Linked DNA regions of Callithrix jacchus. The protein of the gene in region 4 purifies or fractionates together with the protein of the main gene of each other region. This does not show direct contact. Links are inferred from orthologs where the notes say so. Each region holds a gene or a part of one and is shown on either strand. Other genes may lie near its edges.

What was found.
Region 1: the proteins of SMARCA5 (region 4) and BPTF purify together in Homo sapiens (affinity purification with mass spectrometry; 4 studies listed by BioGRID and IntAct, with this or other methods). This does not show direct contact. The link is inferred for Callithrix jacchus from reciprocal best matches to the Homo sapiens genes SMARCA5 and BPTF.
Region 2: the proteins of SMARCA5 (region 4) and BAZ1B purify together in Homo sapiens (affinity purification with western blotting; 11 studies listed by BioGRID and IntAct, with this or other methods). This does not show direct contact. The link is inferred for Callithrix jacchus from reciprocal best matches to the Homo sapiens genes SMARCA5 and BAZ1B.
Region 3: the proteins of SMARCA5 (region 4) and BAZ1A purify together in Homo sapiens (affinity purification with western blotting; 8 studies listed by BioGRID and IntAct, with this or other methods). This does not show direct contact. The link is inferred for Callithrix jacchus from reciprocal best matches to the Homo sapiens genes SMARCA5 and BAZ1A.
Region 5: the proteins of SMARCA5 (region 4) and CECR2 purify together in Homo sapiens (affinity purification with mass spectrometry; 3 studies listed by BioGRID and IntAct, with this or other methods). This does not show direct contact. The link is inferred for Callithrix jacchus from reciprocal best matches to the Homo sapiens genes SMARCA5 and CECR2.
Region 6: the proteins of SMARCA5 (region 4) and MYO1C purify together in Homo sapiens (affinity purification with western blotting; 3 studies listed by BioGRID, with this or other methods). This does not show direct contact. The link is inferred for Callithrix jacchus from reciprocal best matches to the Homo sapiens genes SMARCA5 and MYO1C.
Region 7: the proteins of SMARCA5 (region 4) and BAZ2A purify together in Homo sapiens (affinity purification with western blotting; 3 studies listed by BioGRID and IntAct, with this or other methods). This does not show direct contact. The link is inferred for Callithrix jacchus from reciprocal best matches to the Homo sapiens genes SMARCA5 and BAZ2A.

The regions. Positions count from the first base shown.
Region 1 is NC_133506.1:90,440,963-90,445,533, forward strand, and holds the start of BPTF (nucleosome-remodeling factor subunit BPTF), read right to left. Parts: upstream 3,114-4,571; 5' UTR 2,890-3,113; coding exon 2,265-2,889; intron 1-2,264. UniProt on the Homo sapiens protein: Regulatory subunit of the ATP-dependent NURF-1 and NURF-5 ISWI chromatin remodeling complexes, which form ordered nucleosome arrays on chromatin and facilitate access to DNA during DNA-templated processes such as DNA replication, transcription, and repair.
Region 2 is NC_133503.1:10,220,593-10,224,621, reverse strand, and holds part of BAZ1B (tyrosine-protein kinase BAZ1B), read right to left. Parts: intron 2,703-4,029; coding exon 2,564-2,702; intron 1,871-2,563; coding exon 1,737-1,870; intron 1-1,736. UniProt on the Homo sapiens protein: Atypical tyrosine-protein kinase that plays a central role in chromatin remodeling and acts as a transcription regulator. Involved in DNA damage response by phosphorylating 'Tyr-142' of histone H2AX (H2AXY142ph).
Region 3 is NC_133509.1:69,378,593-69,383,162, forward strand, and holds the start of BAZ1A (bromodomain adjacent to zinc finger domain protein 1A), read right to left. Parts: upstream 3,241-4,570; 5' UTR 3,180-3,240; intron 1-3,179. UniProt on the Homo sapiens protein: Regulatory subunit of the ATP-dependent ACF-1 and ACF-5 ISWI chromatin remodeling complexes, which form ordered nucleosome arrays on chromatin and slide edge- and center-positioned histone octamers away from their original location on the DNA template to facilitate access to DNA during DNA-templated processes such as DNA replication, transcription, and repair.
Region 4 is NC_133504.1:53,197,246-53,201,274, reverse strand, and holds part of SMARCA5 (SWI/SNF-related matrix-associated actin-dependent regulator of chromatin subfamily A member 5), read left to right. Parts: intron 1-1,076; coding exon 1,077-1,225; intron 1,226-1,403; coding exon 1,404-1,523; intron 1,524-2,284; coding exon 2,285-2,395; intron 2,396-2,700; coding exon 2,701-2,814; intron 2,815-3,200; coding exon 3,201-3,323; intron 3,324-4,029. UniProt on the Homo sapiens protein: ATPase that possesses intrinsic ATP-dependent nucleosome-remodeling activity.
Region 5 is NC_133502.1:212,660,956-212,664,984, reverse strand, and holds part of CECR2 (chromatin remodeling regulator CECR2), read right to left. Parts: intron 3,232-4,029; coding exon 1,809-3,231; intron 1-1,808. UniProt on the Homo sapiens protein: Regulatory subunit of the ATP-dependent CERF-1 and CERF-5 ISWI chromatin remodeling complexes, which form ordered nucleosome arrays on chromatin and facilitate access to DNA during DNA-templated processes such as DNA replication, transcription, and repair.
Region 6 is NC_133506.1:66,759,036-66,763,064, forward strand, and holds part of MYO1C (unconventional myosin-Ic), read left to right. Parts: intron 1-34; coding exon 35-81; intron 82-190; coding exon 191-271; intron 272-2,905; coding exon 2,906-3,011; intron 3,012-3,126; coding exon 3,127-3,244; intron 3,245-4,029.
Region 7 is NC_133510.1:63,014,083-63,018,572, reverse strand, and holds the start of BAZ2A (bromodomain adjacent to zinc finger domain protein 2A), read right to left. Parts: upstream 2,902-4,490; 5' UTR 2,729-2,901; coding exon 2,687-2,728; intron 2,664-2,686; exon of another isoform or gene 2,642-2,663; coding exon of another isoform or gene 2,600-2,641; intron 2,221-2,599; exon of another isoform or gene 2,172-2,220; coding exon 2,060-2,171; intron 921-2,059; exon of another isoform or gene 824-920; intron 1-823. Other genes in the region: ATP5F1B (ATP synthase F(1) complex subunit beta, mitochondrial), read right to left, coding at 4,120-4,220. UniProt on the Homo sapiens protein: Regulatory subunit of the ATP-dependent NoRC-1 and NoRC-5 ISWI chromatin remodeling complexes, which form ordered nucleosome arrays on chromatin and facilitate access to DNA during DNA-templated processes such as DNA replication, transcription, and repair.

The DNA.
Region 1 (4,571 bases), on a different chromosome or scaffold from region 4:
TTGCAGTGAGCTGAAATCACACCATTGTACTCCAGCCTGGGCAACAAGAGTAAAATGCTATCTCAAAAAAAGAAAAACAAAATGTCACAAAAGAATAAGTAAATAAATTTTTTTAAATGACACCTAGCTACAGATTGTAATTTAAGTCAGCATATGCGAGTTATCAATCCTATATATTATTTGCTAGGCCTTCAAATAGGTCTTAAAGTTAGCTGAACTGCCCTGCCAAAATGTCTCAGCTCTGTTTAATCAGAAACACTTCCTCCAGGGGTGTATGCAATTCAGTCTCCATGTTTCAATTATCGGTTCTGTGTATAATGAAGACCAACAAGTGATTTCTCAAGGTAAAAATTATTACCATAAAAGGTGTACTAGGCCAGGCACGGTGGTTCACACCTGTAATCCTAGCACTTTGGGAGGCCAAGGTGGGCAGATCACGAGGTCAGGAGTTTGACATCAGGCTGGCCAACACGGTGAAACCCCATCTCTACTAAAAATACAAAAATTAGCCAGGCATGCTGGCAGGTACCCGTAATCCCGGCTGCTCAAGAGGCTGACAGGAGAATCGCTTGAGCCCAGGAGGTGGAGGTTGCAGGGAGCCATGATCGTGCCATTGCACTCCAGCCTGGGCGACAGAGCAAGACTCCGTCTCAAAAACAAAAAGATGAGCTAAAATTAAGTTGGCAAGAATTTACCTGTAGTCCTTTCTACATCTAAGACATAAATACCTGACACTTGATTCATTCCCTTCATTCTCCACATAGTCCCCCCCAACCCTCACAAGCCAGGCAACCATTCTGACCATCAGGCAAAATAAATTACCTTTTTTCACTTTGTTAGGACAACTCATGTGGGTTTACATTTGGCTTAATATAATACTACTCTACTTCTCCAATAAGTAAGCATTTATAAAAAACAGAAACTTCTCAATTTAACCACTTCTACTATCCGAGTCTCTCTGAGAAAGACATGACACACCTTAATTCAAGGAAAAAAGGTCCTTTTTCCTCACAAATATTTCCTCATAAACTTTATTTTTCAAATGCTTTTAAAACCAGATTCTAATTTAATTAATCTAGATTTGCAAAATTATAAAGGAAAAGTCTTGCCAGTTGTTGCTTTGGTTATGTTAATTTCACAATTTAGTAAATTTCAACTACCTATTTAATACAAAGCAGTCTTTTGGAAGAGGGTGAGGGGTTTTTAACAAAATGCATCTCAGCACCAGCCTGGAGAAACTTTTTGTGAGAAAACAGAAGAGGGGTTACCATGGAGAAATTCATTACGGATTTCTGTGAGGGCTTTTTCCTCAGAAATAGAGTGAAAAGAAAAAGTCGTCGTGTAATAAATCTGATACTGATGCTACATGACTTAGAAAAAAGTTCATCTTCGGCAATTATGTCTAGAGGATCAACTACACATCTTGTGCAACAGGTGACACGAAACTGCATTTCCCAAGCCAGGCAAAGCGATCAAATGAGTTAAGACAAGCGTTCCTGCGGTTTTGTACTTTTATTTTTGACTTAACCAAAACAATTTTGAATCGGATGAATTACCAAATTTGGTTGGGTCTTGTTTGGCTTTCTATTTTGCTTTTTCATCAGCCATTTACCAGCAACTGTTGCATGAGCCCATTGGCACTCGAAGAATAAAAACAAACACGCAGGACCAGATAAAGTTCCCCTACTAACCCAAATGATCCATTTCCTTAACACAATTTTAAAACCACAGCTAGGGGTGTGAAAACAGGCATGTTTTTGTGTGTGTTTGTGTGCCACAATCTGCCCAAATCCTTAATTCCCTTTTAAGTAACAGATATATAATAAAAATCTGAAAGAAACCATATTAGAAATGCAAAGAGGTTTGCAAAACAAGAGGCTTCTTTCATTCCAGAAAACCACACCAAAACAAGGGAAGAAAAATGAATGCAATGGATACGTGTCTGCCAAAGTTTCAATCCTGCCCGGTGGAGACATCGCACTGGCACAAATTTTGAAGAGGAAAAAGAGGGGGTTGGGGGGAGAGAGAGCAAGCGAGTGTGGCCTGCAAACTGCAACAATGCAATCTCCATTTTGAACAATGCGCCTCTTTCCTCTTGTAAATCTAGTTTTTTGCCACTTGATGTGCCGTCGCATTTCCCCTCTGTTTGGGGGGAAGGCGGGGTTGGGGGGAGATCGGAGCAGGATGCACAGCACACGAGTGAGGAAGGGGGGAGGGCAGAGGAGGTGGGGAAGGAGTCTGCAGCAACTGGGCTGGGTGGGTACCTGGAGTGCTGCTGTAGGTACTATGGCTCCTGAAGCTGCTTTCCGTGCAGTAACTGGCGTCGTCGTCGTCGTCTTCCATCTCCTCCGGATAATCGGAGTCATCGTCGTCCTCCTCCATCTCATCCTCCTCGTCGTCCTCAGAATCTTGGGTCTCCTCGGCGTCGCCGTCCTCCTCCTCCTCCTCCTCCTCCTCGGAGACCATGTCCTCCTCTTCCTCCTCCTCCTCGCTCTCGTGGTCATCGTACACCACTTTGTTGACGGCCCTCCGGGCCGCGGTGGTCCGGGCCAGGTGGCCGCCGCCGCCCCCGCCCCCCGTCCTGCCTCCCCCGCCTCCTCGCCCCCCCCGGCCCGGGGCGCTGGTGCTGGGGGGGGCCGGCGGCGGCTGCGGCTTCCTCCGGCTACTGCTGCCCCCCCTGGGCGAGCTCAGCCGCGTCTTGGGCGCCACCTCAGCCTGGGCGGCGGCCCACCTGCCCCGACTACTGCCGCGGTGCCGCGAGCGGAGCCCCCCGATGGGTCCGGACGTGGGCGGCGGCGGCGGCGGCGGCGGCGGCGGCGGGGCCGGGGCGCAGCGCTCCGCAGCGGGAGCCGCGGGCTGCTTGGGCGGCCTGCCCCGCCGGCCCCTCATGTCGGAGCCGAGGCGGGGGGGAGAAGGGAAAGCGGAGGGGGAGGGGCGGGCGCAGGGGGGGCGGTGGGGAGCGCCGGGGCCGGGTGGGGAAGCCCGCGGGGCCGGGCGGGAGGGGCCCAGCCGGCGGAAGCGGGTGGAGGGAGAAGGCTCAATCCGAATTGCTGGGGCCCCACTCCGGATCGCCTTCAGCCGCCATCTTGTTTCTTCCCTCTCGCTCGGTGACTGGGGGAACCGACAGCGGCCGCAGGCCCGGAGCGCGGTCACGTGAGCTGCGCCGCCGACGAGCCTGGACGGAGCGAGGCGGCGCAGCGGCCGCTAGGGGGAGCGCGGGAGCGCCGAGTCGGGGGCGGGGAGCACGGGGCTTCTGGGTTCGGCGCAGCTAGGCGCAGCTGGACTTCGGGCGCGGGTGGCGCGGCAGAGACGGGTGCGCAGCTCGCGAAATGCCCCTGTGTCAAAGGCCTTCGGAGACCATAGTCTCCGCGGACCCCTGGCTGGAGGCCAAAGCCTGCCGGACCTCCTCCCCGCGTCTCCCCTTCCGCGGCTCGGAGAGAAAGGCAGGAGAGCCCCCAAATATCATTCCCCTCCCGGCCCCCTAGGGAAACTGATGCTGAAAGAGCCAGAGAAAAAGAAAAAAAGGTATAGGAGCGGGGCGGCCGAACGACCGAGGACACTGGGCAGCGCCACCGACGAAGGGAAATTCCTAGAATTTAGGAAACTCCTTACCTGGGAGCTGGAGTCCTGAAATTGACTCGAATGACAACTGCTCCACGCTGTGCCAGGAGCCACGCCCGGAGGGAGGGGCACTTTAAGGCCTATTCCGTGGAACCCCCACTCGGAAAGCCTCAGGAAACTCCAGAACGCAACTACTGCACGTTCCAGTCTCCCGCCACCCTCCCAGTGCCCCAGCTAGGACCGCTACCACCTCAGCAGGAACTTCCCTCTCCTCTGCAGTGTAAAACGAAATCCTGCCTAAAAACCTACTTCACGGTGTTATGTTTGTATTATCGGGAAATAACCTTGATTTATTTATCTGACAAGTCACTAAGTTTCAGCTTAGCCCAGGGGACGAATCATGATGACATTTCAGGCACCCTCAAACCTTATCACAGGGACTCAACCGTGAGTGGTTGAGGGCAGCTCTTCAGATAAGAGGTTTTATAAACTTATATGAATATTTGAGATAAGTGACAACCAAAAAGTAATTTAAAGAAAAATAGTTGGCCTGGCTCGGAAACTCATACCTGCAATCCCAGCCCTTTGAGAGACGGAGGCCGGAGGATAGCTTGCGGTCAGCAGTTCGAGACAACCCTGGGCAACATATCAGGACCTCGTCTCTAGAAAAAAATTGAAAAATTAGCCGGGCATGGTGGTGTGCACCTGTGGTCCCAGCTACATGAGAGGCTGAGATGGGGGGGATCGCTGGAGCCTGGGAGACAGATGTTGCAGTGAGTGGTGATTGCACCACTGCACTCCAGCCTGCGTGAAAGAGCAAGACCCTGTCTCAAAATTGAAAAAAAAGAAACAAAAATACCTAACAGGATTTCTGTCCACCAAATGGCTATTTCAATCTCGGCCTCGCCGTCCTCCTCCTCGGAGACCATGTCCACCTCTTCCTCCTCCTCCTCGTTCTCGTGGTCATCATACACCAAATATGAACACATTTATGTTCACAATTGTGTTCA
Region 2 (4,029 bases), on a different chromosome or scaffold from region 4:
CTCAAGTGATCCACCTGTCTCAGCCTCTCAAAGTGCTGGGATTACAAGACATGAGCCATCACACCCAGCCTCAGTTGGGTTATTTTAAAAAGAAACTGCTATTCTGGAACTGGAAAACACAAAACAACACCTACCAGGACGCTCTAGAAGTAAAGGGTCTGGGTTCTCAATCTTCTCTCAGGGCGCTTTAACTGTGTAGACGTTACTTTCAAGAACTGCCACCAGGCTTTTGGAACACATTATAAAGTAAAATTCCTTCATCCTGCTGGAATGCCTTCCAAATCTAAACATCCAGAATCCACAGATACTGCTCTCCATGTAACTGCCCTCACCTGAGTATTTATAACGTCTGCCAAAACTAGATTCTTCTACTAAGTGACATAATCTATGCTCAATACAACATGAAAACACCTTAAATTTGAAGGAATGTTTATTTTTGTAAATCAGTAGTATTCTTCTTTAACAATTTTGTGAGTTTCAAGTTTGAGTTAGAAATTTCTCTAAAATGAAAAATTACTTTTAAAAAAAGATTTATCAAAGAAGCACAATAATTTAGTCTTCAGGAACCAATTTTCTTTTTTATCTTTATCTCCCACATGACACCAACACATAAGCCATTTTCATTAGGTTACAGACAGCAGAACTGGAAGGAAGCTTATGGATCATTGAACCTAGTGGTTCTCAATGGGGAGGGAGCACTACTGCCTGCCCGGGGAAATCTGGCAGGATCTCGAGACATACTTTGTTCTCACTACTACCACCTACTGGCTATGTAGAGGGAAGCTCCTAAATAAACCACAAGGCGAAAGTCAGCTCCCAGGACAAAAAACTATCTTCCTCATCAGTATCATGGTGGAAGAAAATAAAAAAGATTCATCTGGCCCAAAACGTCAGTAACACTGAGGTTGAGAAAACCCAACCTAACCTAAGCATCTTATTTTTTTAATTAAAATTTGTTTCTTTCTTGAAATATACCCAACATACATACTTTAAGAAAGAATATGAATATATATTCAGAAAATTATTCAGTATAGGTTTCGGCTTCATAAACACTGAATAAATTAACTTTAAAAGTAGAAGAAGATGGTCAGGCATGGTGGTTCACGCCTGTAATCCCAGCACTCTGGAGGGCCAAGGCAGGTGGATCACCTGATGTCAGGAATTCGAGATGAGCTTGGCCAACATGGCAAAACTACTACTAAAAATACAAAAATTAGCAAGGTGTAGTGGCACACAACTGTAGTCCCAGCTATGTGGGAGGCTTAGGCAAAGAATCACTTGAACCCAAGAGGCAGAAGTTGCAGTGAGCCAAGACTGCACCATTGCACTCTAGCCTGGGTGACAAGAGTGATATTCCATCCCAAAAAAAAAAAAGGTAGAAGAAGAGAAAATGTAACACTGCCTTCTTAGCCCCTATACCTCAATTTTAGCAATTCAGGCACCTATGATGGCTTCTAAGGGACAGTTTTGAAAACTTCTATAAAATCTAATACCCAAATACCCTACTATTCAAGCTCTTTATCTTCTCACACTACGCTTAGAACAAAAGTAGTAATCAAATCTGGGTTTCTTTCCTTCTCTCTACACATTTCACATCTACCCACTTAACTCAAACATACCTAAGATCAAAATACAGAAATTTTGCAAATGGAAAAGGGGACAGAGGAAGGGCAGTCCTTAATGCTGAGCCCACTTGAGCAGGGTGAAATAACTCACAGATAGACAGAGATACTCACTGCGGGGACAGTAATCCTCATCAGCAGAGTCTGTGTGCTCTTTACAGTGATAGTTGAATCGGTAGTCAATGCTGTCATGTACCCAACCTTTTTCAATGAATAATCCTGGAACTTCATCAGAGAAGAGCCAGTATCTACAAACCACAACCAGTATTAATAAGAATCAACAGATCAGGATTGCAGGAGAATTTTACTCCTGGAGATTAGAGTATCACTGAGCATTCAAAACCACGTTTACAGAATTCTTCCTCTTCAGAACTCTAGACAGATAAAAACTGTAAGGTAAATCAAAGCATATAAGAAATGTTAAAACTGGAGACTAGTTTAATGTCTGTAATTTTTATAACTGCTCTCTTTTTTTAATGGAAATGGGTGGCTATGTTGGCCAGGCTGGTCTTAAACTCCTAGCCTCAAGCAATCCTCCCACCTCAGCCTCCCAAAGTATTAGGATTACAGGTGTGCACCACCACAACCAGCTGTAATTTGTGTAACTACTAATATTTCTCTTCTTTAGGTTTCACAAAATGTACGCGTTTAAAACCTACTGCCATTTTTAAAGACTTGTATTTGGATCACACTTCAACTGTCACCATCATATAAGCTTCCTACTTGTGGTATCTTCAAGGGCAGGAACATTCTCACTTAACTTTGCAACTCTAGCATTTGGCACAGTTAATATTCAACAATCATCAACAATTCTGTTTCCAAACACAATCGGAAAACTCAAGAGAGAAGCTTGTCTATTCTTGTACTTTAGGTAATTTTCGTTAACTAACAGCATTAAAAATAGTCCTGGAAGAAAACAAAAATTAGGTTTAGGAACTGACCTATTATGGTTCCGATCTGTACCGATAGGAGTCCTGCGCATGACCAGTTTGGCCTTGGCAATCCCTTCCTGGAAAGCTTTCTCAGCAGCTGCTTTGTGCCTCCGTATTCGTTCTTCTTCAGCTTGGCGCTCCAGTTTCACTGTTAAAGGTAAAAAGACTCAGTAAGATATTTTCCTAGTAATTCCCACTTTCAGATTAAATATGGAGTAAAAAGTGCCTCATGTATAGTAGTTATCCAATCCTCTCCCTAACTCTAATCTGTTATAAGAAATGATATGTGGCCAGGCATGGTGGCTCACTCTTGTAACCCCAGCACTTTGGGAGGCCAATGGGGGCAGATCACGAGGTCAGGAGATGAAGACCATCCTGGCCAATATAGTGAAACCCTGTCTCTACTAAAATACAAAAATTAGCTGGACATACTGGCACATGCCTGCAACCCCAGCTACTCAGGAGGCTAACGCAGGAGAATCGTTTGAACCTCGGAGGCGGAGGATGAAGTGAGCCAAAGTTGCGCCACTGCACTCCAGCCCGGTGACAGAGGGACACTCTGTCTCACAAAAAGAAATGATATGTAAGGCAGCAACTTCTACATAGTCCTCCTGCATTCCTTGAATTTTGGTGACATCTCATCCCTCAACTCAATGCAAAATCTTTTAGCTCCAAAATATCGCTTTTTGTTTTTTGAAACACTCTTGCTGGCTGGAGTGTAGTGGGGCGATCTCGGCTCACTGCAACCTCTGCCTCCCAGGTTCAAGCGATTCTCCTGCCTCAGCCTCCTGAATAGCTGGATTACAGGCAAACGCCACCACGTCCAGCTAATTTTTGCATTTTTAGTAGAGACGGCGTTTCCCCATGTTATCCAGGCTCGTCTCAAACTGACCTCAACTAATCCACCCATCTCAGCCTCCCAAAGTGCTGGGATTACAGATGTGAGCCACCACACCTAGCCAAAATATCACTTAATGTATTTTAAACAACCCTGAAGAAACAGTTAACAGCTCAGAAACAGGACTAACTGAAACATCTTCTAGTTGTTTTGAGGACCTACAGGATCCTCAAAACGATCACAATAAATACAACTAGTAAAGTAACTATTTCAAAATAAAATATACTTCAGTCCTGAGGAATCTGACAGGAATTTGGCTTAACAGCCCTGATGACAAGAAAAAAATTCAAAAACAATGGCAGGGGAGTACTTGGGGATAATAATTATTTTACATTGAACACCTATTTTTCTAATTGTTCAGCAAGTTACTGTTAATGATAAAAATGTTAATTTATTTCTGATCATTCATTAATTAGGTTTATTCTATTCAGCAAAAATTTCCCTCAACAACAAAAGAAGCCCACTAATTTTGTCTTGTTTTTCCATAATCGTCACAAACCCTGATACCATAGTGTACAGAACAATGCTATTTACAATGTCACCATTTTTTAAAATTGTTTCTTTTTTTTTTTAAAGA
Region 3 (4,570 bases), on a different chromosome or scaffold from region 4:
TCAGACCAGCCTGGCAAACAGGTGAAACCCTCTCTCTACTAAAAATACAAAAAATTAGCTGGGCGTGGTGGCGGGTGCCTGTAATCCCAGCTACTCAGGAGGCTTAGGCAGGAGAATCACTTGAACCTGGGAGGCAGAAGTTGCAGTGAGCCGAGACTTCACCACTGCATTCCAACCTGGGCAACAGTGAGAGACTCCATCTCAAAAAATAAATAAAATAAAATAAAATACAAAATAAAAACACAAATTAGCTGGGTGTAGTGGTGCATGCCTGTAATCCCAGCTACGTGGGAGACTGAGGCAGGAGAATCACCTGAACCCAGGAGGCAGAGGTTGCAGTGAGCCCAGATCGTGCCACTGCACTCCAGCTTGCCCGAGAGAGTGAGACCCTGTCTGAAAAACAAAAACAAACAAAAAACAACAATAGAAAAACTCTTTAGCACAGCCTTCAAAACCTTAGCCATTCTGTCTGTCATCTACTCATTAGCTTCCTGTTATAATACATTCTTTTGGCTTCCTTCTCTAGCCACGCTCTCCACTTCTCCCCCTTCTCCCTGGCTTTTTTTTTTTTCCTTTTTTTTTTTTTTGAGACAGGTTCTTACTCTGTTGCCCAAGCTGAAGTGCAGTGGTGAGATCCTGGCTCACTGTAACCTCTGCCTCCCAGGCTCAAGTAATTCTCCAGCCTCAGCCTCCCAAGTAGCTGGGACTACAGGCATGTGCCACCACATCTGGCTAGGTTTTGTTGTTGTTGTTGTTCTGTTTTGGTAGAGATGGGGAATCTCACTATGTTGGCTGGGGTGGTCTTGAATTCCTGGCCTGAAGCGATCCTTCAGCCTCGGTCCACCTAAACTCTGGGATTTCAGGAATGAGCCATCAAGCTCGGCCAATGATAACATTTTTACTAGAATACATCAATGCCACTTTGAACTGCTACTATAAAATCACAATGGAAATAGCAGATAGCAATTATTGAATGCTTACTATGTGCTAGGCACTGTGTCAAGAGCAATACATACAATACCTCTTTTAATCTTCTGAGTAAGTATTGCTAAGCCCATTTTACTAAGAAGAAAATGAAGGCTCAGAGAAGATGTCATGCTCAAAGTCATACAACTATTTTTTTTTTTTTCGAGACAGAGTTTCGCTCTTGTTACCCAGGCTGGAGTGCAATGGCGCGATCTGGGCTCACCACAACCTCCACCTCCTGGGTTCAGGCAATTCTGCTGCCTCAGCCTCCCGAGTAGCTGGGATTACAGGCACATGCCACCATGCCCAGCTAATTTTTTGTATTTTTAGTAGAGACGGGGTTTCATCATGTTGACCAGGATGGTCTCGATCTCTTGACCTCGTGATCCACCAGCCTTGGCCTCCCAAAGTGCTGGGATTATAGGCTTGAGCCACCGTGCCCGGCCGTCATACAACTATTAAGTGATAGAGACAGTATAGCCAATATTCAACCCAGGTCTATCTGACTCACTTCTGATTTCTCTCTCTGTCCTTTCTTAACCACAAGTATCTGTACGCTAGGACTCACTAGGACATCATAAGTTATTTGAGCTAATGCACCGTTAGAGAAGGAACATGGGCTTTGGTGTTAGACCAGCTTTGAATTTGAGACCCAGCTCTGGCACAGACCAGCCATTTGATCTTAGACAAGTTACATCACCCTCTCTCTCCACTCCCACCCTAAATCTTAGGTTCTATATCTATAAATTGGAAATAATATCAGCCATCTTACAAGGTTGCCATAAAAATTAGGTATAATGTATATAAAGTGCTTGGCACATCAATGGTATTCAATAAATCACTTTTTTTTTTTTGAGACGGAGTTTAGCTCTTGTTACCCAGGTTGGAGTGCAATGGTGTGATCTCGGCTCACCACAACCTCCGCCTCCTGGGTTCAAGCAATTCTCCTGCCTCAGCCTCCCAAGTAGCCGGGATTACAGGCACGCGCCACCATGCCCAGCTAATTTTTTGTATTTTGAGTAGAGACGGGGTTTCACCATGTTGACCAGGATGGTCTCGATCTCTTAACCTCATGATCCACCCGCCTCCCAAAGTGCTGGGATTACAGGCTTGAGCCACCACGCCCGGCCCTAATAAATCACTTTTTATCATTGAATTATACAATGACTTTATTTGTTCAGTAATTGATATATTTGGCAACATTATGTTTTAGATTTTGAAGGATAGTCTATTCTGTGATTCAGAAACATTGTCACCAGAGATATATTTGTCAGAGTATGTGTCCTTTTTTTTGTTTAGAGAAAAAGTATTTATTTCTCTTAAAGTGGTAAGTCTATAAAACATGCCTAATAAACCCATGATTAGTAACTGAATAATTATACAGCATAAACAAATGCATGAAGAATCCACAAGTAATCAGAAAAATATACTTTATATGAATCAGAAAGAATAAGTAGAGTTCATCAAATTACTTGAGTTTTATCTCTGATTCATTAAGTTCTGAAACATAGGTACAATTTAATGTTTACAATTTAACCAAATAATGAAAATGGAACATCCGTTGTCTGCACCCTTAAATGTAAAGTTACTGATCAAAAAGTTTTGGTCACCATTTATATAAGCAAAATAAATGAGCAAATATGTTTACTAAATGATGCACAATATATGTTCATATTCATGTGGAATTTTTTTTTAAATGTATTTAATTGAAAAGAGTAGGCCAGGTGCAGTGGCTCACGGCTGTAATCTTAGCACTCTGGGATGCCATCATGGGTGGATCACTTGAGGCCAGGAGTTTGAGACCAGCCTGGCCAACATGGTTAAACCCTGTCTCTACTAAAAATACAAAATTAATAATTCCAGCTACTTGGGAGGCTGAGGCAGGATAATCGCTTGAACCCTGAAGGGAGAGGTTGCGGTGAGCTGAGATCACACCATTGTACTCCAACCTGGGCAACAAAAGTGAAATTCCAACTCAAAAAAAAGAAGAAGGGAGAAGGAGAACAAGGAGAAGAAGAAGGAGAAGAAGGAGAAGAAGAATGGAGGATTAATGGGAAAAACAACTTCATCTGTTTCACAATTTTTCTAAAGAAATCTGGAGTAATTTATACACAGTTGATTCCAAACAGTATTCAAATAAGATAGTCAGGTCCTAAATGCCAAATACAGTTAAAGACAACAAAAGCTGTAAATAGCTAAAAAATACAAATTACCTTTTTTGGGGGGCTGTTGGAAAGTTATAGGCTGAATTTCATATTGCTGTGACTATGTTCTATTTACTGGCTTTTTCCTTTCAGCAGTTAAAAACCAGTAACCTACAGGAAAACAGTAGTATAATCTCAACATTCTATTAAACTTGGTCACGGCCAGGCTTACGCCTATAATCCTATCACTTTGGGAGGCTGAGGCAGGCAGATCACCTGAGTTCAGGGGTTCGAGACCAGCCTGGCTAACATGGCAAAACCCTGTCTCTACTAAAAATACAAAAATCAGTTGGGTGTGGTGATACATGCGTGTAATCCCAGCTACTCGGGAGGCTGAGGCAGGAGAATGGCTTGAACCCAGGTGCAAGAGGTTGCAGTGAGCGGAGATTGCACCATTGCACTAGTGGCTGAGCCACAAGTGGTAAGGTCAGTTATTGTAATTCATAGTGAAGTAAAGGTGTATGTGTGTTTTGTAAATTTTTCTTCTTTTGCATACAGACTGGGGGGTGGGGGGGTCTCACTGTGTTGCCCAAGCTGATCCCAAACTCTTGGGCTCAAGCAATCCTCATGCCTTGGTCTCCCAAAGCGCTGGGATTAGAGGCATGAGTCACCATGCCTGGCCAGGTATGGCATGCTTTTAATCCCTTTTGTTAGAGAAGATGAAATTACTGAACAATTAAATAAATTATTAGAGAAAAACATATTCTTTTTTTATTCATTATATGAATTCTAATAAATGGGCTACAATCGGGTATTGAGTTCAAAATCTGAAAATGTAAGATAGAGTACCTGGGGGAGGGTACATGTCCATAATTTCTGTCTGTTTCAGATATATGCAGGGATGCCAGGGACAGGGAAAAAAAAAGCATATATTCAAATAGGTCCTGGGGGGACAAATGAGTACATAAACCTCTCCTCAAAGAACAGAAGCCCCCTTCCTTTTTTTTTTTTTGGTTTTTATTTTTATATGTCTATGTCTTTCTAAAGCCCCATTTTCTAAAGCATGGGGCTTTAGAAAAACCACCACCACAGACACACAATAGGGATGACATTGCTTAGGGGCTTCTAAGCATCATTTCAAGTCTGAATCTGGAATATCCTCTTGGCAATTTGAAGAAAGGTAGAAAGGTGAGCTTTACCTAATAGTGTAGCAAAGAACTACAACAGATAAAAAGAGCAGTTTTTATGGTGGTCACTCATTTATTACCTGAAGTTAGGTAGGCTTGGATTTAAATCCTATCTCTGGCACTTAATGGCTACAACTAAACAGTGTGTGTATATCAGTTAATATCTCTGCCTATTTCCTGATCTGTAAATGGAGTTAATAATAGTGCCTACCTCGGAGGATTGTTCTGAGGATCAAATAAGATAGGTGCCTGGCATGAGCAAATTTTATTATT
Region 4 (4,029 bases):
GAAGTAGTTTGTATAAGCCTAAGAAAATTTTGGTAGCAATGAGATAGCTTTCAGTTCAAAGAAACATACTTAGTGGATATGTCCTCACCTTCAGAGTCGCGGATATTTGATTGTGCATTCTGTTATGGGTTCCAAAACATGATAAAAATTTTAAAAGAAGTTATTGGAAACTTGTATCTTTATCCACTTACTACAAGTTGGTTGGCATATAAAAATCAAAGCTTTGTTTAGGTGTATGTGAGTGACCATTGAGGAGGGTGAAACAAAGTGTTTTCTGTTTTTTTTATTTTTAAATATATACTTGTATTTTTGAAAACACAGATTACAAGGTTGTCCAAATTCCTGCCAACTGAAGATCTTTGTTAATTTATTAATGTTGAGTTTCTTTAATGATCCAGATACATTTTCTCCTCAGGTGTGGCGGTGCATGCCTTTAGTCCTAGCTACTTGGGAAGTTGAGATAGGAGGATGGCTTGAGCAGGGAGTTGAGGGCTGCAGGGAGCTATGGTCCTGTCGTTGCACTCCAGCCTAAGCAACAGAGTAAGACTGCAAAAGAAATAATAAGTTTTTAGGGGTTTCAGCTCTTCTGGAAGTTTTCTTTAAAAAGAATCTGATGTTAGATATTTCAGTTCTAGTGTAAAGTTTGGCCTATGTGAAGGATTTTTTTACTTTTTAAAGGAGAAAAAGCTGATTTGGGGAGTATTAGTAATAACACCTTTCTGCTCATCAGAAACTTGTGTATATGTAATGTTTCTATCTGTTGAAACTTGTGGATTTTTGAAAATTAATTTTGTTATATGCAGCTTTCACAAAAGATTATATTTCACTGACACAGTATACAGTAGGGTTCATTATATGATATATAAGCTTTATAAATTTTTTGTAGCTTACCAGCTGAAAATTTGATATTAAATTTAGTGTAAAAATGAAAATTATCAGATGTGAATAAATAGTTAACAGAAATGATTGACATTTGAGACAAAATTATAAGGCATTAAACCTTACATTTAAAAATTCAAGTTACCAGAAAAATAAAGTCTGTTCAGTTAACATTATACAACACAATATTTTTTCAGGGAGGCTTGTGGACCAGAATCTGAACAAAATTGGGAAAGATGAAATGCTTCAAATGATTAGACATGGGGCAACACATGTGTTTGCTTCAAAGGAAAGTGAGATCACTGATGAAGATATCGATGGTATTTTGGAAAGAGGTGCAAAGAAGGTGAGATGTAGATTAAATGATAATGCTTTTAATATAAAATGTTTCAAACCAGAAACTGAGGAAATATTTGTTACATTGCTTATAAATAATTTTATTTCCCTAAAAAGAGGCTTTTGTGTACATGAAGTTAATTTATTTTGACTACAGGTTCATGCTTGCTTTTTGTTTTGTTCTCTAGACTGCAGAGATGAATGAAAAGCTCTCCAAGATGGGTGAAAGCTCACTTAGAAACTTTACGATGGATACAGAGTCCAGTGTTTATAACTTTGAAGGAGAAGACTATAGAGAAAAACAAAAGGTAATTTAGAAATAGGTTTGGGATGCATGAAAGCTTTATTTTACTAGAAACTTGGAATTTTAAGTGGTATTATAATGTCTTGTAATTTTGCTTAAAACAGTATTTTTTGCTTATTCACATCTGAATCTTTATTATATAAAACTTAAGGCTGCTTTTTGAGTTGGGAAATTCTGAAATATTTTTACAGTTTCTGTGATGAAGTTTGTAGTATATATTGACAGTGAAATATATTCTTGTATGGGATGAATATAGTAATTTAGGATGTTAATCTGATTCATTTAATTTTAAACAGCCAAAGTGATGGTAATAAAGGGAAACATTTCTTAATTTCATAAGTAATACTTGGTAATATAGAGGGAAATTGGAAAATACCCATAGAGTAGAAGAAAAAAATAATTCTACCCAGTGTTTTTCTCGTTAACATTTAGGTCTATATCTTCAGAATTTGTTCTAGGCTAAACACATGTCTACAGTATTCTCCTAGTTTAGATTTATAGCAAACATTCTATAGTGTTTCTCCCTCTCATTTAACAGTTGTTCCTTTAAGCAAGAAATACTGAATGCTTACATTGTTGCTTATTAGGCACTGTCTCATGTGTTAATTATATACATGATATTGAGCAAAGTATTGTAGTCCCCAGCCTCATAGAGCTTATACCCAGGATTGAATGTCTTTCCATTTACAAAAACATCCTTCTTGATGATAATTTGTTACTGTGTGTAATAGAAGTTGGTGATTTGAGTTGTTTCCCATGTGCTAGATTGCATTCACAGAGTGGATTGAGCCACCTAAACGAGAAAGAAAAGCCAATTATGCCGTTGATGCATATTTTAGGGAAGCTCTTCGTGTTAGTGAACCTAAAGCACCGAAGGTGAGTTAACTGACACAGCATAAAAAGATCTAAAAATTTTTAAAATGTAATTATTTTCTTATATTCTTGCAAAAACATTGATAATTATATTTTGTATTTCTTTAGACTGTATTCTGTTTTTAGTTAACATTTTAAAAAAATCAGTTTTGAATCTGCATTTAAAATTAAGGTAACAATTCAGTTTTATTAAAAGATGCATTCATTTGCTTGGAAAATTGGCTGTCATGGTTTATGAAGTAAGAACTAAGGATACATTTAAAACAAAATTTCTTTTTTATAGATAACACTGTTTTTTTTTTCTTTAGGCTCCTCGACCTCCAAAACAACCCAATGTTCAGGATTTCCAGTTCTTCCCTCCACGTTTATTTGAATTACTGGAAAAAGAAATTCTGTTTTACAGAAAAACTATTGGGTACAAGGTAATTGAAATTGTCCACTTTTCTGTCCATTGCTATCCAGAATTTATGGAAGGTATAAACATTAGTTATTAATATTTATCTAATTTGGACCTAGTGGGAAAGAATATTGCTTTAGCCTATTCTAGTTGTATATGTCAAATACATAAGCTGTGTGTCTGTTACTCTTTAAAAAAGAAAAATAAGATTTCATGACGAATCTAGGTTGTTTTTAATGTAGTAAATGCAAGATATCAGTATATTTTCTTTCCTGGTTGAACAGAAACTTGTGAAATGTCAGTTAATTGGTTACACTTATTCCCGCCACCTGAAGTTAATTGGTTAAGAATTTAGTTCATCACTTGCTCTTTAAAACTTACTTACTGATGGCATAGAAAAATATCTCTTAGGTACCTCGAAATCCTGAGCTGCCTAATGCAGCACAGGCACAAAAAGAAGAACAGCTTAAAATTGATGAAGCTGAACCCCTTAATGATGAAGAGTTAGAGGAAAAAGAGAAGCTTCTAACACAGGTATATAGCCTTTATTCAGTACAAACTTTAATAACAGTTTATTGTAAAGTACTGTGTTGGGTGATGTTGGGGCATACAAATAAGTACAGGTTTCTGCTTTTAAAGATGGAATAATTGGAGACAACAAAGCATGGGCATGTGCATAAATGCTCCATTTGATTGTCACTAATTGTTGACGTAGTTGAGAAGACTAGTCTTGCCTTGGTAGGGTGGGTATCCTTTTTATCACCTTACTTTGAATGTTCTTGTCTTTCCTATGATTTTCCACATTGCTACCTAGTCACCATTTTCAATTATAAATCTTGGCTTGGTATGTTCTTAACATCCTTTGGTGTTCATCAAGGTCTTTTAGAATCTGGCCTTTAACCTACCTTTAAAGCTTTATTTTCCTTCCGTTTTTCTACTTGTTCATATTTTTGCCCTTTAGGTTATTCACTCTTTGTGGCCAGCAAAACTGTCACGTTTTCATACAGTGTTTCTTTTTTTTGGGTGGGGGGCAGAGTTTCGCTCTTGTTACCCAGGCTGGAGTGCAATGGTGCAAACTCGGCTCACCACAACCTCCGCCTCCTGGGTTCAGGCAATTCTCCTTCCTCAGCCTCCTGAGTAGCTGGGATTACAGGTGCACGCCACCGTGCCCAGCTAATTTTTTGTATTTTTAGTAGAGATGGAGTTTCACCATGTTGACCAGGAGGGTCTTGATCTCTTG
Region 5 (4,029 bases), on a different chromosome or scaffold from region 4:
TACATAGATTTGAAAACTTCCAAGAAATAGGGGAGGGACAGCGGGGGTGGGGAGTTGGGGAGGGACAGCATGGAGTGAAAAGCCAGATATAGGTGAAGGGGAGGGAGGCAGCAAATCACACTGCCACATGTGTACCTATGCAACTATCTTGCATGTTCTTCACATGTACCCCAAAACCTAAAATGCAATTAAAAAAAAAGAAAACTTCCTAAATGGCAGATCACCTAACTGGATCTCGAAAACATCACTGCACAATCACGTGTGAAAGAAGTCTCATGGGGACTTATTTGCATTCTGGATAAAACTGGTTTTCTTACTCAATGATATAGTAAGAAATGAGAGTTATGTAGTAAACCTTTTTTCTTCTTTTGAGACAGAGTCTCGCTCTTGTTGCCCAGGCTGGAGTGCAATGGCGCGATCTTGGCTCTCAAGTGATTCTCCTGCCTCAGCCTCCCAAGTAGCTGGGACTACAGGCGCGCACCACCACACCCAGCTAATTTTTGTATTTTTAGTACAGATGGTGCTTCACCATGTTGCCCAGGATGGTCCTGATCTCTTGATCTTCTGTTCCTCCCGCCTTGGCCTCCCAAAGTGCTGGGATTACAGGTGTGCGCCACTGCGCCTGGCCATAAAACTTCAATGACATGTGATCTCTTCTACTCCTGGATAGACGTTTTCTTTATTTTTTTACCTTCGTCAGAGCGTCCGCACACGGCAGCAGTGTTGACACAGATTTGCTTACAGCTCTCAAACTGTGGTTACTAAGTTTCCAGTATCATGTAAAGATTAGCTGGGCATGGCAGCAGGCACCTGTAATCCCAACTACTTGGGAGGATGAGGCAGGAGAGTCGCTTGATCCTGGGAGGCGGAGACTGCAGTGAGCAGAGATCACACCACTGCATTCCAGCCTGGGCCAAAGAGCGGAGATTTAATCTCAATAAAATAAAATAAAATAAAAAAGCTGGCTGGGCGTGGTGGCTCACACCCGTAATCCCAGCATTTTGGGAGGCTGAGGGGGGTGGATCACCTGAGGTCAGGAGTTTGAGGCCAGCCTGGCCAATATGGTGAAAACCCGTCTCTACTAAAAAATACAAGAATTAGCTGGGAGCGGTGGTGGGCACCTGTAATCCCAACCACTTGGGAGGCTGAGGGAGGACAATAGTCTGAACCTAGGAGGCAGAGGTTGCAGTGAGCCGAGATCGCACCATTGCACTCCAGGGAGACGCATCTCAAAAAGTTTACAGTATCAAAATCTAACTCAGTCATGTAAATGCCAATTCATTTTCATGAGGGGGAAAACGTTCAAGGATAACGCTGGGCTCTACATCTAGTGTCTTTCTAGCGAGCATGCAACACCAGTAATTCACATACGCTTCTCATTCCCAGATCATCAACTACTGTCTTCATCTCTAAGGCCATTTTTCTGTTTAAACATCCAGGCTGGCTGTGGTGACTCACGCCTGTCATCTCAGCACTTTGGGAGGCTGAGGCAGGAGGATGAATTGTACTCAGGAGATCGAGACCAGCCTGGGTAACATGGTGAAACCCTACCTCTACCAAAAAAAAAAAAAAAAAAAAAAAAAAAAAAAAAAAAAGAGCCGGGCATGGTGGCATGTGCCTGTAGTCCCAGTAATTTAAAAGACTGATGCAGGAGGCTCCCCGAGCCCGGGAGGTCGATGCTGCAGTGACCCACGATGGCACCACTGCCCTCCAGCCTGGGTGACACAGCGAGACTCTCTCTCAAAAATAAAGAACCACCACCACCATCTGTTCTTTCTTCGCAGGGAAAAGCCCGAACGCAATCTTACCCTGACGGTCTGTACGTTTCCTGGAAAGGTCCCCTTATTCCACTTCTAGTGCCAATTTGTTCCATCATCACAGCTTGAAAGTGACCCAGGCCCTCTTCCTGGCAGCGATAGATGGGGCCCTCCTGAGAGAGCCCGTTGGGCTGGGGGGCCCCTGGGTGGTGAGGTGGGTGAGCAGCCATGGGGGAAGAGTAAGCGCTGGGCTGAAAGTGACTGGCCGGCCGCTGAGGCGTGTAGGGAGGCCCCGTCTGCAGCATCACGCCGTGGCTGGGAAATGCAGATGAAGCAAAGCCCATTCCCGCACTCAGAGACGGAGGAGGAGGTCCGTAGAGATACTCGCCGGCTGGTAGCGAGCTCTGCCGCTTGGTGGCTGCGTTGTGGTTGTCCAAGTCTAAAAATTCTTTGGGACTCTCTGGCCTCTCCATAGATTCATCCAGCTTCTCTTCCTCTGGACCAGGATTCTGCCCGTCATTCGGGACTTCAGCAGCCACAGGATCCATATGGGCTGGAGCAGTTAAGGCAGCATTCAGTGTCTCACAGCCTTGCAGACTGGCCATGGCATTCTTGTCGGAGAAGAGGGACCTCGGTGGGGGAGGCTGACTGGCGGGGGGTCCGCTCGGGCTTCCCTGGGGATGGAGAGGTCTCTGCCAGTCAGAAAAGCCCTGTGGACACGGATAGTAAGGAGTTCGCTGATAGTGGTGGTAGGAAGGCTGTGGTGGTGGGTGGTAGGAATACCTCATTCCTTGTGGGGGGCGATACCGGGGAAAGCCTCCAGTATGTGGGTGGCTGGACTGAAAGCCCCTTGGGGGGAAATGTTGGGGATGGGATGCTGAGGACTTCCCTCCCATCACGGGGCCCACACCCTGCAGGCCTGGACTGATGTGGTAATGAGCAGCTGAATTCGGGTACTCCAGCCCAGGCATGTACAGCGGGGAGAACTGGCTCACAGTGCCTCCCATCAAGCTGGGATCTGTGCTGGGCGGTGTCGCTGTGTTCTGTCTTGGGCACGGCACGGTTTCCTGCAACGTTCTGCCTCTGGGGCACAGCGGCTTTTCGGAACCACTGTTACCAAGGCCCTTCCCCTCTGATCCACAGGGCGATGCTTCCCCAGTGACTCCGTTTTCAGGTAGAGTGCCCCTGTCTGCCACCGCGGAGAGGTCTCCCATGCACCCTTGGGTGACTGGGCTGGGGTAGCTGCTATCCGAGGGCCAGGGATTCTTGCCCTTGGTTGCTTGACAGCTGTCTGCAGATTCGGAGGAGTTGGCTTTGAGCTCTGGGCCTGACGTTTCCCCCCTCTCTTGGGGTGAGCTCTGCCTGGTGCGGTCAGTCTGCAGGGGAGGCCTGGGGTGAGGTAGTTGTTTGAGGTATACCCCCTCGGAAGTACCAACACTTGCTGGTTTCTCTTCCAGGCCAGGCAATGGCTCTGCTGGAAAAAAAAAAAAAAAAGAAAAGAAAAAATAATTCAGTAGCTGAAATGGCAAGTAAATGTAAAGAACATGACAGACTCAGATGGAGGTGGATGTGAGGTGATTCAAGTGTCAGCAGGAAGGTGCTGGAGTCCTTGAAAGGACTCAAGATCCTCGTCCTTTCACCCCTTCCACGGACACAAAAGTAAAACCTAGCGCCTCTCCAGCCACTCTTAGAGTGTGCCGGAGAATGGAAATGTCCCTGCCGCCCTAACCTTGGACTGCCTAGTTAGTAAGAAGCTGAGAGAGGGCTTGTGGCTCATGGTGCACGTGAGGCACACCGGGGGGATGGCTGTCATCAGAATCGCTGGGCATGCTGGGAAGCTTTAAAATTCCACGCAGCGAGAAAGACCAGCTCCACAGGAGGAGGGACTTCTCCCTCTCACTGTCCTCTCTGACTCCAGACGCACAGACTCAATCACTGGTGAATCAGTACATTCATTCTGTCTGCATGTCTTCAAGATGCCTACTAAACAAAACTCAAAAGGCATCTTTAACATACTATGGATAAGCCCAATCGAATGAGTTTATCGGACTCCTATGCCCGGTCACAACGTCGGAATTCTTTACATTACTGTTCAACCCACAAACATGATCTTAACTAAGACCATGTACAATAGTGTGTAAGTATGTGTATATATCTGTATCAAATAGGCCATTTTTTTTTTGAGGCAGGATCTCGCTCTGATGCCCAGGCTGGGGTGCAGTGGCACGATCTCAGCTCACTGCAACCACTGCCTCCCGGGTTCAAGTGATTC
Region 6 (4,029 bases), on a different chromosome or scaffold from region 4:
TCTGTCTCACCTCACATGTGCTCTCCCCTCCCAGGGTTTCTGGACAAAAACAATGACCTTCTCTTCCGGAACCTGAAGGAGGTGAGGGACCTGAAGTGGGGGCCGAGGGGGAAGGGGTCACCCACAACTCTGCACCTGTGTCCAGGGGCCTGTCCCTGTGCTCCAGCCTGACCCCGGCTCTGCCACACAGACCATGTGCAGCTCGAAGAATCCCATTATGAGCCAGTGCTTCAACCGGAGTGAGCTCAGTGACAAGAAACGGCCGGAGACGGTGAGGGGTGGGGCCAGGCGTGGGTGAGGGCTGAGCCAGCCTGGGAGCTGGCAGCATGCGTGTGAGCCCGTGTTGGTGCCCGTGTGCACATCTGTGGGTGTCTAGGGGGCTGCTTCTAGGTGCCTCTTTGGCTGCTGCTTTTTTTTTTTTTCAGACGGAGTTTCGCTGTTGTTACCCAGGCTGGAGTGCAATGGCATGATCTCGGCTTACCGCAACCTCTGCCTCCTGGGTTCAAGCAATTCTCCTGCCTCAGCCTCCCGAGTAGCTGGGACTACAGGCATGCATCACCATGCCCAGCTAATGTTTGTATTTTTAGTAGAGACCGGGTTTTACCATGTTGACCAGGATGGTTTCGATATCTTGACCTAATGAGATCCACCCGTCTCGGCCTCCCAAAGTGCTGGGATTATAGGCGTGAGCCACCGCGCCCGCCCCCCCCCCTTTTTTTTTTTTTTTTTTTTTTTTTTAGGCTGATCTCGCTCTGTTGCCCAGGCTGGAGTGCTATGGCCCAATCTTGGTTCACTGCAACTGAGATTCAACTCCCGGATTCAAGCAATTCTCCTGCCTCAGCCTCCCAAGTAGCTGAGATTACAGCCTCGCACCACCATGCATGGCTAATTTTTTGTATTTTTAGTAGAGACATGGTTTTGCCATGTTGGCCAGGCTGGTCTTGATCTCCCGACCTCAGGCAATCCACCCACCTCGGCCTCCCAAAGTGCTAGGATTACAGGCGTGAGCCTCGGCTCCCAGCCCTGTCTGCCTGCTTCTGCATGTGCTGTGTCTGTAGTGGGGCCGTGTCTCCTAAGTGGGGGGCTGTGCTGTAGGGGAATGTGTGTGTGCTCCTGTCTCCGTTGTGGGTGTCAGTATGTTGACACCTGCCTCTATGTGGGCACTCTCATGTCCACCCACTCAGCCGACATTTATAGCAGATGCTGCCCAGGCACCAGGGGGGTGCACCTGCAGCCACATGCACAGGGTGCACTGCGAACTTGGAAGAGAAACAGCAGATGGCCTCAGGGGTGGAAGGGGTGAGGGCTGGGAGGCTCCCTGGAGGAGGGAGCATTGGATATCACTTGAGAATGTCAGATGAACCTATAGTGAGGGCCCAACTCAGACACTCAGAGAGTTCGAAAAGGCCAGGAGTGGAGCCGGAAAGCGATGGCGTCAAGGAGAGGGACCGGGAAAGGCAGGCATAGGCGAGGTGCCAGAGGCAGAGCTCCAGCGAGCTGGGGGCGAGGGGCAGTCGTTGGGTTTGGCAAGGAGAGGATCAGGGCAGCCCCAGGAAGAGCGGGGTCGGTCGGTCAGCAGGGAGGTAGAGGCGAGACTGCTCACCAGGGAGGGCATGCAGGCACCATGCCGCCAGCGGTCTGGCTCTGTGGGCCCTGCCCACTGCTGCTGTCCACCCCACCATCTCCCGAAGTGCCCACATCCTCCTTGCGCTCGTATCTCCCTGCTGAGGATGCCTGCATACCCCTCCGGCCCAGGCCTCTCCAGCAAGCCACAGATGTTGTATCTCTTCTCTCCCCACATGGCCCCAGGCACCCTGGACTCCACTGGTCTATAACAGACAGGCCCTTGGTCTCTTCTTCAGGCTTCCTCCTCTGTCCCTAACTCAGGATAGGGATTACTCTCCACCCAGTCCCCCAGGCAAGAAACCTGAATGTCCTCCTGTTCCTTTTTGTTTTTTAAGACAGAGTCTTGCTCTGTTGCCCAGGCTGGAGTGCAGTGGTGCGATCTCGGCTCACTGCAACCTCCACCTCCCGGGTTCAAGTGATTCTCCTACCTCAGCCTCCCAAGTAGCTGGGATTATAGGCATCTGCCATCATGCCCAGCTAATTTTTGTATTTTTGTAGAGATAGATTTTTGCCATGTTGGCCAGGCTGGTCTCAAACTCCTGACCTCAGGTGATCTGCCCACCTTGGCCTCCTACAGTGCTGGGATGACAGGCGTGAGCTATTGCGACTAGCTCCCTGGTTCTCTACTCTCCTGCCTCCCTCATCCAGCTGCTGGATCTGGCTTGAGTCCTTCTCAGCAACTTCCCTCAGCTCCGGCTCCTTCCCGGTGGGATTACAGGCCTGAGCCACTGTGCCGGCCCTTCTCATCCTGTAACGTCCTGAAGACTCTCCTGATGCTCCCTGCCCCTCGGACTGGATGCGTTGTCCCTTTCTGGCGCTCTCAGGACCCCCAGGGATGCACCTGTTATTCCCTAGCCACCCAGAGTTGTTGGTCTTTGCTAAGTGTTTCTCCGCCTGGCCTGAGATCTTCCCCGTCCGACAGAGCAGTTTACCCTGATCATAGCCGAATGCGTAGCATGGGACATGCTGTTTGGGAATGCAGCCCTGGAGTTCTAGAAAGAAAAAGAAGGGCGGCTAAAGGGAGGTGTCGCACTGGGGTTGCTGGGAGACCTGAACAGGAGTGTGAGGCTGGAGCGCGGCTGTAAGCAGAGATCCCTCGCCCAGCCAGAGTGGTCTGGGGTGGAGTCTGGCCCCTTCCTTTTCTTCGGGGACGGTATGGTGGGAGGAATAAGGCCAGGCTGCCGCTCGGGTCCCCAGCCAGGGGAGTGGGATACACGCTGCTGGGGTCATGAGCTTTAGCCAAGCTCCGGTCAAGCTTCCTTGCCTCCTGGCCTCCCAGGTCGCCACCCAGTTCAAGATGAGCCTCCTGCAGCTGGTGGAGATCCTGCAGTCTAAGGAGCCGGCCTACATCCGCTGCATCAAGCCCAACGACGCAAAGCAGCCCGGTAGGCCTCTCCTGCCGGGTACTTCGGCCCAGCGTCCCCTGCAGGCAACAGGCAGTCAGCACTGGCCATTGACCACCCCCTCCCCAGCCGGCTGACTGCACCTCCACCTCCCCAGGCCGCTTTGACGAGGTGCTGATCCGGCACCAGGTGAAGTACCTGGGGCTGATGGAGAACCTCCGTGTGCGAAGAGCCGGCTTCGCCTATCGCCGCAAATACGAAGCTTTCCTGCAAAGGTCGGGACCGGTCCTGCTGGGCACCAGGGACGGGGTTGAGGGGGCAGGAGGGGAGGAGCCCCTGGGCCCCATTTTAGAATGTGGACGAGGGGCCCTGGGCCGCTGTGGGACTCGCGCCAGGAGCCTTTGGTGGAAAGAACACCTGGCCAGTCCCCTAGGCCGTGCCCTGCAGGAGCACCTGTTCGGAGTACCTGAGGCTTGACCCACACGCCGGGCACCGGAGGCAGACAGTAGCAAACCTTGTGGGCGGCTTCCAAGGAGCTCAAAAAGGGTGGAGCAACTTTGTGGTTCTGAGCTGGGGCCCAGGCTTCAATCGGTGTGAATTCCATCTCTCACTTTTAGTTTCCTGGCCTTAGGTAGATAATGGTTTCCTCATCTTTAAAACGGGATGGCCAGGCGAGGCGGCTCACACCTGTCATCCCAGCACTTTAGGAGGCCAAGGCAGGCGGATCACCTGAGGTCGAGAGTTGGGGACCAGCTTGAACGGCATGGAGAAACCCCGTCTTTACTCAAAACACAAAATTATTCACAGGGAACAAAGCAAAAAAAAAAAAACAGCCAGGCCTGGTGGCACATGCCTGTAGTCCTAGCTACTCAGGAGGATGAGGCAGGAGAATCGCTCAAACTCGGGAGGCAGAGGTTGCAGTGAGCTGAGATCTCGCCACTGCACTCCAGCCTGGGCAACAGAGTGCGGCTCCATCTCAAAAAAGAAAAAAAATGGGGGCAGTGACCCATGAGCCCCCTGTGAGCTGTGAACGAGTCCTTGGGAGCACCCAGCAGGTCCC
Region 7 (4,490 bases), on a different chromosome or scaffold from region 4:
TAGTGGAATTCTCTATAGTGCTACTGGAAGTTAGAGAAAGCCCTTAATTCCTAGGGGGTGGAAGGGCTTCCTTTGGATCTAAACAGAGAAAACTGGACTTCTCTTGCCTTCCCCACCGCCCCAGTTCCCCACCCACTCTCTCCCAACTGCTCCAGTAGCACAAGATTCCGGCAGCGCCCCGGCCCCCAGCTCCCAGATACTGGGGGAGGGGTGCTCCTAGGCTGGACCGACCAACCCTAGGCCCAAGAGGAGAGCCCTTCCCACCTGGGCTCAGTAGGCGGTGCTGAGGTTGGACCCCGAGCTCCTGGAGCTGTAGGGTAGGGTAAGGACTACAGAAAAGCTTTAGATGGGACTTAGCTGAACTTAAAAGGGCTGAGCGGGGCAAGGCCAGATAGTAAGTGTAGTTGCTGTTATTCCCCCGCCCCCCTTACTACAGGGAAGGAGAGGAGTTGGGGTGGGTATCCCCCCTCCCATTGGGGTTAGGAAGGCGTGGGAAAGCGCTAGTTCCAGAGGGGAGGAGGCGAAACCCAGACCGCGGGAGATTTTTCTGGCTAGGAAGACGCGGGGGAGGGGGAGATCCTGGGCCCAGAATAGGAAGGGTACTTGGGAGAGGATGGCGGAGAGGCGTGAGAAGCCTCCGGATTCCGGTTGCAGAGGACAGAGGGAAAAATGGGAGAGTAGATAGTGAAGGGAAGAGAGGAAGGCCAGCTCCCGCAGAGGGAGTCAGATTCTGAATCCTGAGGCAGCAGGGATCCCGGGGCAGGATACCGCAGAAACGGGCCGCCCGGGGACTCCGGGGCTGGAGGTGGGTGCCGGACCTCACCTAGCGCAGGGCCGGGCTGCGGGCGGCGGCGGCGGCGGCGGCAGCGGCGCAGGTGGCCGAGCCGGGCGGCGGCGGCGGCGCCTCCTCCCCCAGCCCTGGGCCGGCGGCGGCGGCGGAGGGGAGGAGATGGCGCTTAAAGGGGCAGGAGCTACCGGGGTGAGGACAACTGCTCGGGAGAGCAGACGCGAAGGATTCTCTGGGGAAGAGGGAAGCGGGTGGCGTCTCCTAGGGGCCAGAACCAGGAAGGATTCCAGATGGGAGGCTGAGAACAGATCCCAGAAAGAGACAGAAACTTCTGCGGTAAAGTGGGGGATGGTGGTAGGTCCGAACGGAAGGACTCGGGAGAGCTCTGCCCGCGCTCCCAGGGCACCAGCAAAGACCGCTTCACAAAGGAGGCCGGGGAAGGCTGAGAGAGCTACATGGGCTCCTAGGAGGCCTAGGGGTGAAGGAGAGGAACTCAAGGCTGAGCCTGCTGGGGGTCATGCGCAGGGACCTACTAGGTGAACAGGTTCCCGGTGTTTCAGCTCCTCAGGGCTCCATCCCTACAGCTGTGGGGTCTTTGGAATCAGGAAGCCACGAGGGCAAAAAGCTATCCTCTCAACCTCAATCTTGCCTCCCACTCAGTGCCTTCAGTGACTGTAATGTGGTGGCCATCAATAGCAGCCCTAGTGAGGCTCAAGTGGGACCATGAGAATCGACTTTGGTTCAGTTTTCCCCCAACCACCAACCACCCTTGCTTCAGTCTCTGGGGCAACAGGAAGCAGCTGCTCAGTGCAGCCCCCACCTGAAGGTGGGTCAGGGTGGGGGAGGAGAGGAGACAGAGACTTAAAAGGCCTTAGAGAAATTAAGAAGGGGACGCACTTTAAACACCTTCTAGCACGGCCAAAAGCGGGCTTTACTTTTGTGGGGGCTAGCAGTGAGTACTGTCAAAATTTCCTTGAATTTCAACAGCTTAAATGGGGAGGAGAAGGGACAGTCCTCCACGGGGCGACGGGGAGGGGGTTGGGAAAGCCCTGGCCTAAGGTGCGTCTCAGGCTCTTCCTTAGAGCTGGGGCTTGCCCATACTCGGGATCCCGTGATCGGCGGCTGAGCCCTGAGCCCCCCTCCCGTCCCCGGGTCCTGTTTCCTCCCCTTCACCCCCAAAACGAGCAAAGGTTAGGCCCCACCCCTGCTGAGTCAGCCAGGGAGGGAGTAGGCATCCCTCAGGCCTTCCCCGGGGTTGGTCCCCATACTCACCCATGTCAGGCTGGCAGGACTCCAGGCTGGGATCACCCAGCTCCTCACTGTCCTTGTGCCCCCGCTTCACGTAAAGGCTGGTGTTGGATCCTCCCAAACTGTGAGCTGGGAACTAGCAAGAATCAAAAGCCAGTGTATGCTTCCTGCGAACCACACAGTCTGAACTGCTGTAGGGTGATGTCCCTGTGTGACAGACTGGGTGGGGAGGGAGGAGGGAAGGGCGGGGCTTTCTCTGGGTGGAGAGAGGGAGGAGGCGAGGACAGGGCAGACCAGGAGAAATATGGAGGAAGGTTAGAGCTGTGTTGACACTCCAGTGGCTTGGTAGAAGAGGGCGGCAAAGGGAGAAGGAAATAAATAGTTGCAGCTAGTGAGAGGGAGAAGGTTCTCGATAAACGCTGAAGGACGTGAACGTGTTGGGGGAAGGGGTGGAGGGATGCAAAAGACCTTTAAGATTTCAGTTCCCAGGTCTGTATTGGGTGACGTGAGAAAACAAAGAAAGGGCTGACCTGGGGCCTAGGGCATTTTGTACCAGCTTCTTACCCACTCCAAGTCAGGACCTAGAGGAAGTGTCCCCACCCCCATAACTCAGCATTTCCCCAAATCCAGGCTTTCCTGGGAGCAAACTACCAGCACAAGCAGCTCAGGGGCTCCACCTTCTGTCCAGATCATGACACAGGAGAGACTGCGGGAGAGGCTGCTGCCAAGGACGTCACAGGCAGATGGAAGAAAGCTTGGAGGCCCCTACTCCACCCCTGGCGCCGCGCCAAATGGCCCTCCCCAACCTTCAGCCCCCAGGGGCCTCTGAATTGGGAGCTCGGTTTATCTCCGCCCAGCTTCTACCTAACTTGATGGCCTCAGGGGGTGGAGCTTATCGATGCAGGCTCCTCCCCAGGACAAATTGCCCAGCTGGTTTGTAAACAGTCTTTCACTGAGAACCACATCCCAGCCTTCGTGGATTTGAAAATGGGATCAGTGTTCTTCCAGTCTCCAGTGCTACCGCGAGAGGGCAGTAGGATAGGTCTGGTCTCAGGAAAGAACACATGAGGAACCCAATCTGACCTTGTCTGCTTCTTTTAAATTGAAATGGTGAAATCTACCTATCCTTGCACCTCTCAAGGTGGGCTAAAATGAAGAGAAAATTACCTAATTCCATTAGTTTGGAACCCCTGACAACACTGAATATTGTTATTCCCTTGTAAGATCTTTTCTGGACTTTCATAAGGGATCTTCACAGAGGGCAGACTAGGCCTCATGGTATTATAAGCCTTTGCATAGCCTCAAGAAATCACAAGCAACTTTTTTTCTAGGCTTGCCCAAAACGTCAGGAAGTAGTTAAGTACACTTTCTGAAGACAGGAATTCCTAACCAAGATGTAGAGGACCCTTTTTGATTCAATTTTAACAAAGATAGTATTCTTTGTCACTCTTTCTTGAAAATTTAATTCATTAAACTCAGATTAACCCCTGGAAAAAGTTATTTCTAGAACAAATTTTTCCCAATATGCCCTTCAAAAAAGGCCTATTTTTAACCAAGCAGTAATGTGCTACATGGTATGGGGGGGGAAATCAATTTGCATTGAATAAAAGGCCCAAAACTGAGGCCCTAAGATCACACTATCCACAAGAAACTCCTCACAAGAGGTATGGTTGTCTATCAGCAAGAGAATGACTATTTTTGAGGACTGATTTCAAACATACATGGCCAACTTCACACTGAAACTGCTTTTTATGGCCACTCTATAAAAATCTGTTGAAAACAGTGCTGGTGATGTGAGACTCCATACACCTGTAGCCCCAGCTGCTCAGAAGACAGGTGGGAGATCTCTTGAGCCCTAGAGTTGGAGACATGTCTCTAAAACTAAAAATATATAACCCTTCACTGTTGATGATGTTGTCAGAACCAAGAGAAACAGACAAATTCTGGGGGGGTGTACATTTTATTGGAAACTTTAAATACTGTTCAGACAGAATGTATCTTCAATCAAGGCTCTTGTGTAGCCTACACAGAAAAATGAAGCTTTCTGGATTAGGGGCAAGGAGAGGGACAGACACAAGAACCCCTCATGATGAATGCTCTTCAGCCAGCTTATCAGCTTTTGCCACAGCTTCTTCAATGGGTCCCACCATATAGAAGGCCTGTTCTGGGAGATGGTCATATTCACCTGTATGAAGGAAAAAAAAAAGTGGGGGGGAGTGGATATCAACTTTCTGCAGTGTGTAATATTCCTCAGCACTTGAGGGCATCAGTTGGAATGTGATGAATTCGTGTTGTCTTAGAAAGCTTGAATTTCTGTTGCAAATTTACAAGACATGATACAGTATGAATTAAAAATACATGGGCCGGGCATGGTGGCTCACAGCTGTAATCCCAGCTATTTCAGAGGCCAGGGTGGGCAGATCACCTGAGGTCAGGAGTTTGAGACTAGCCTAGC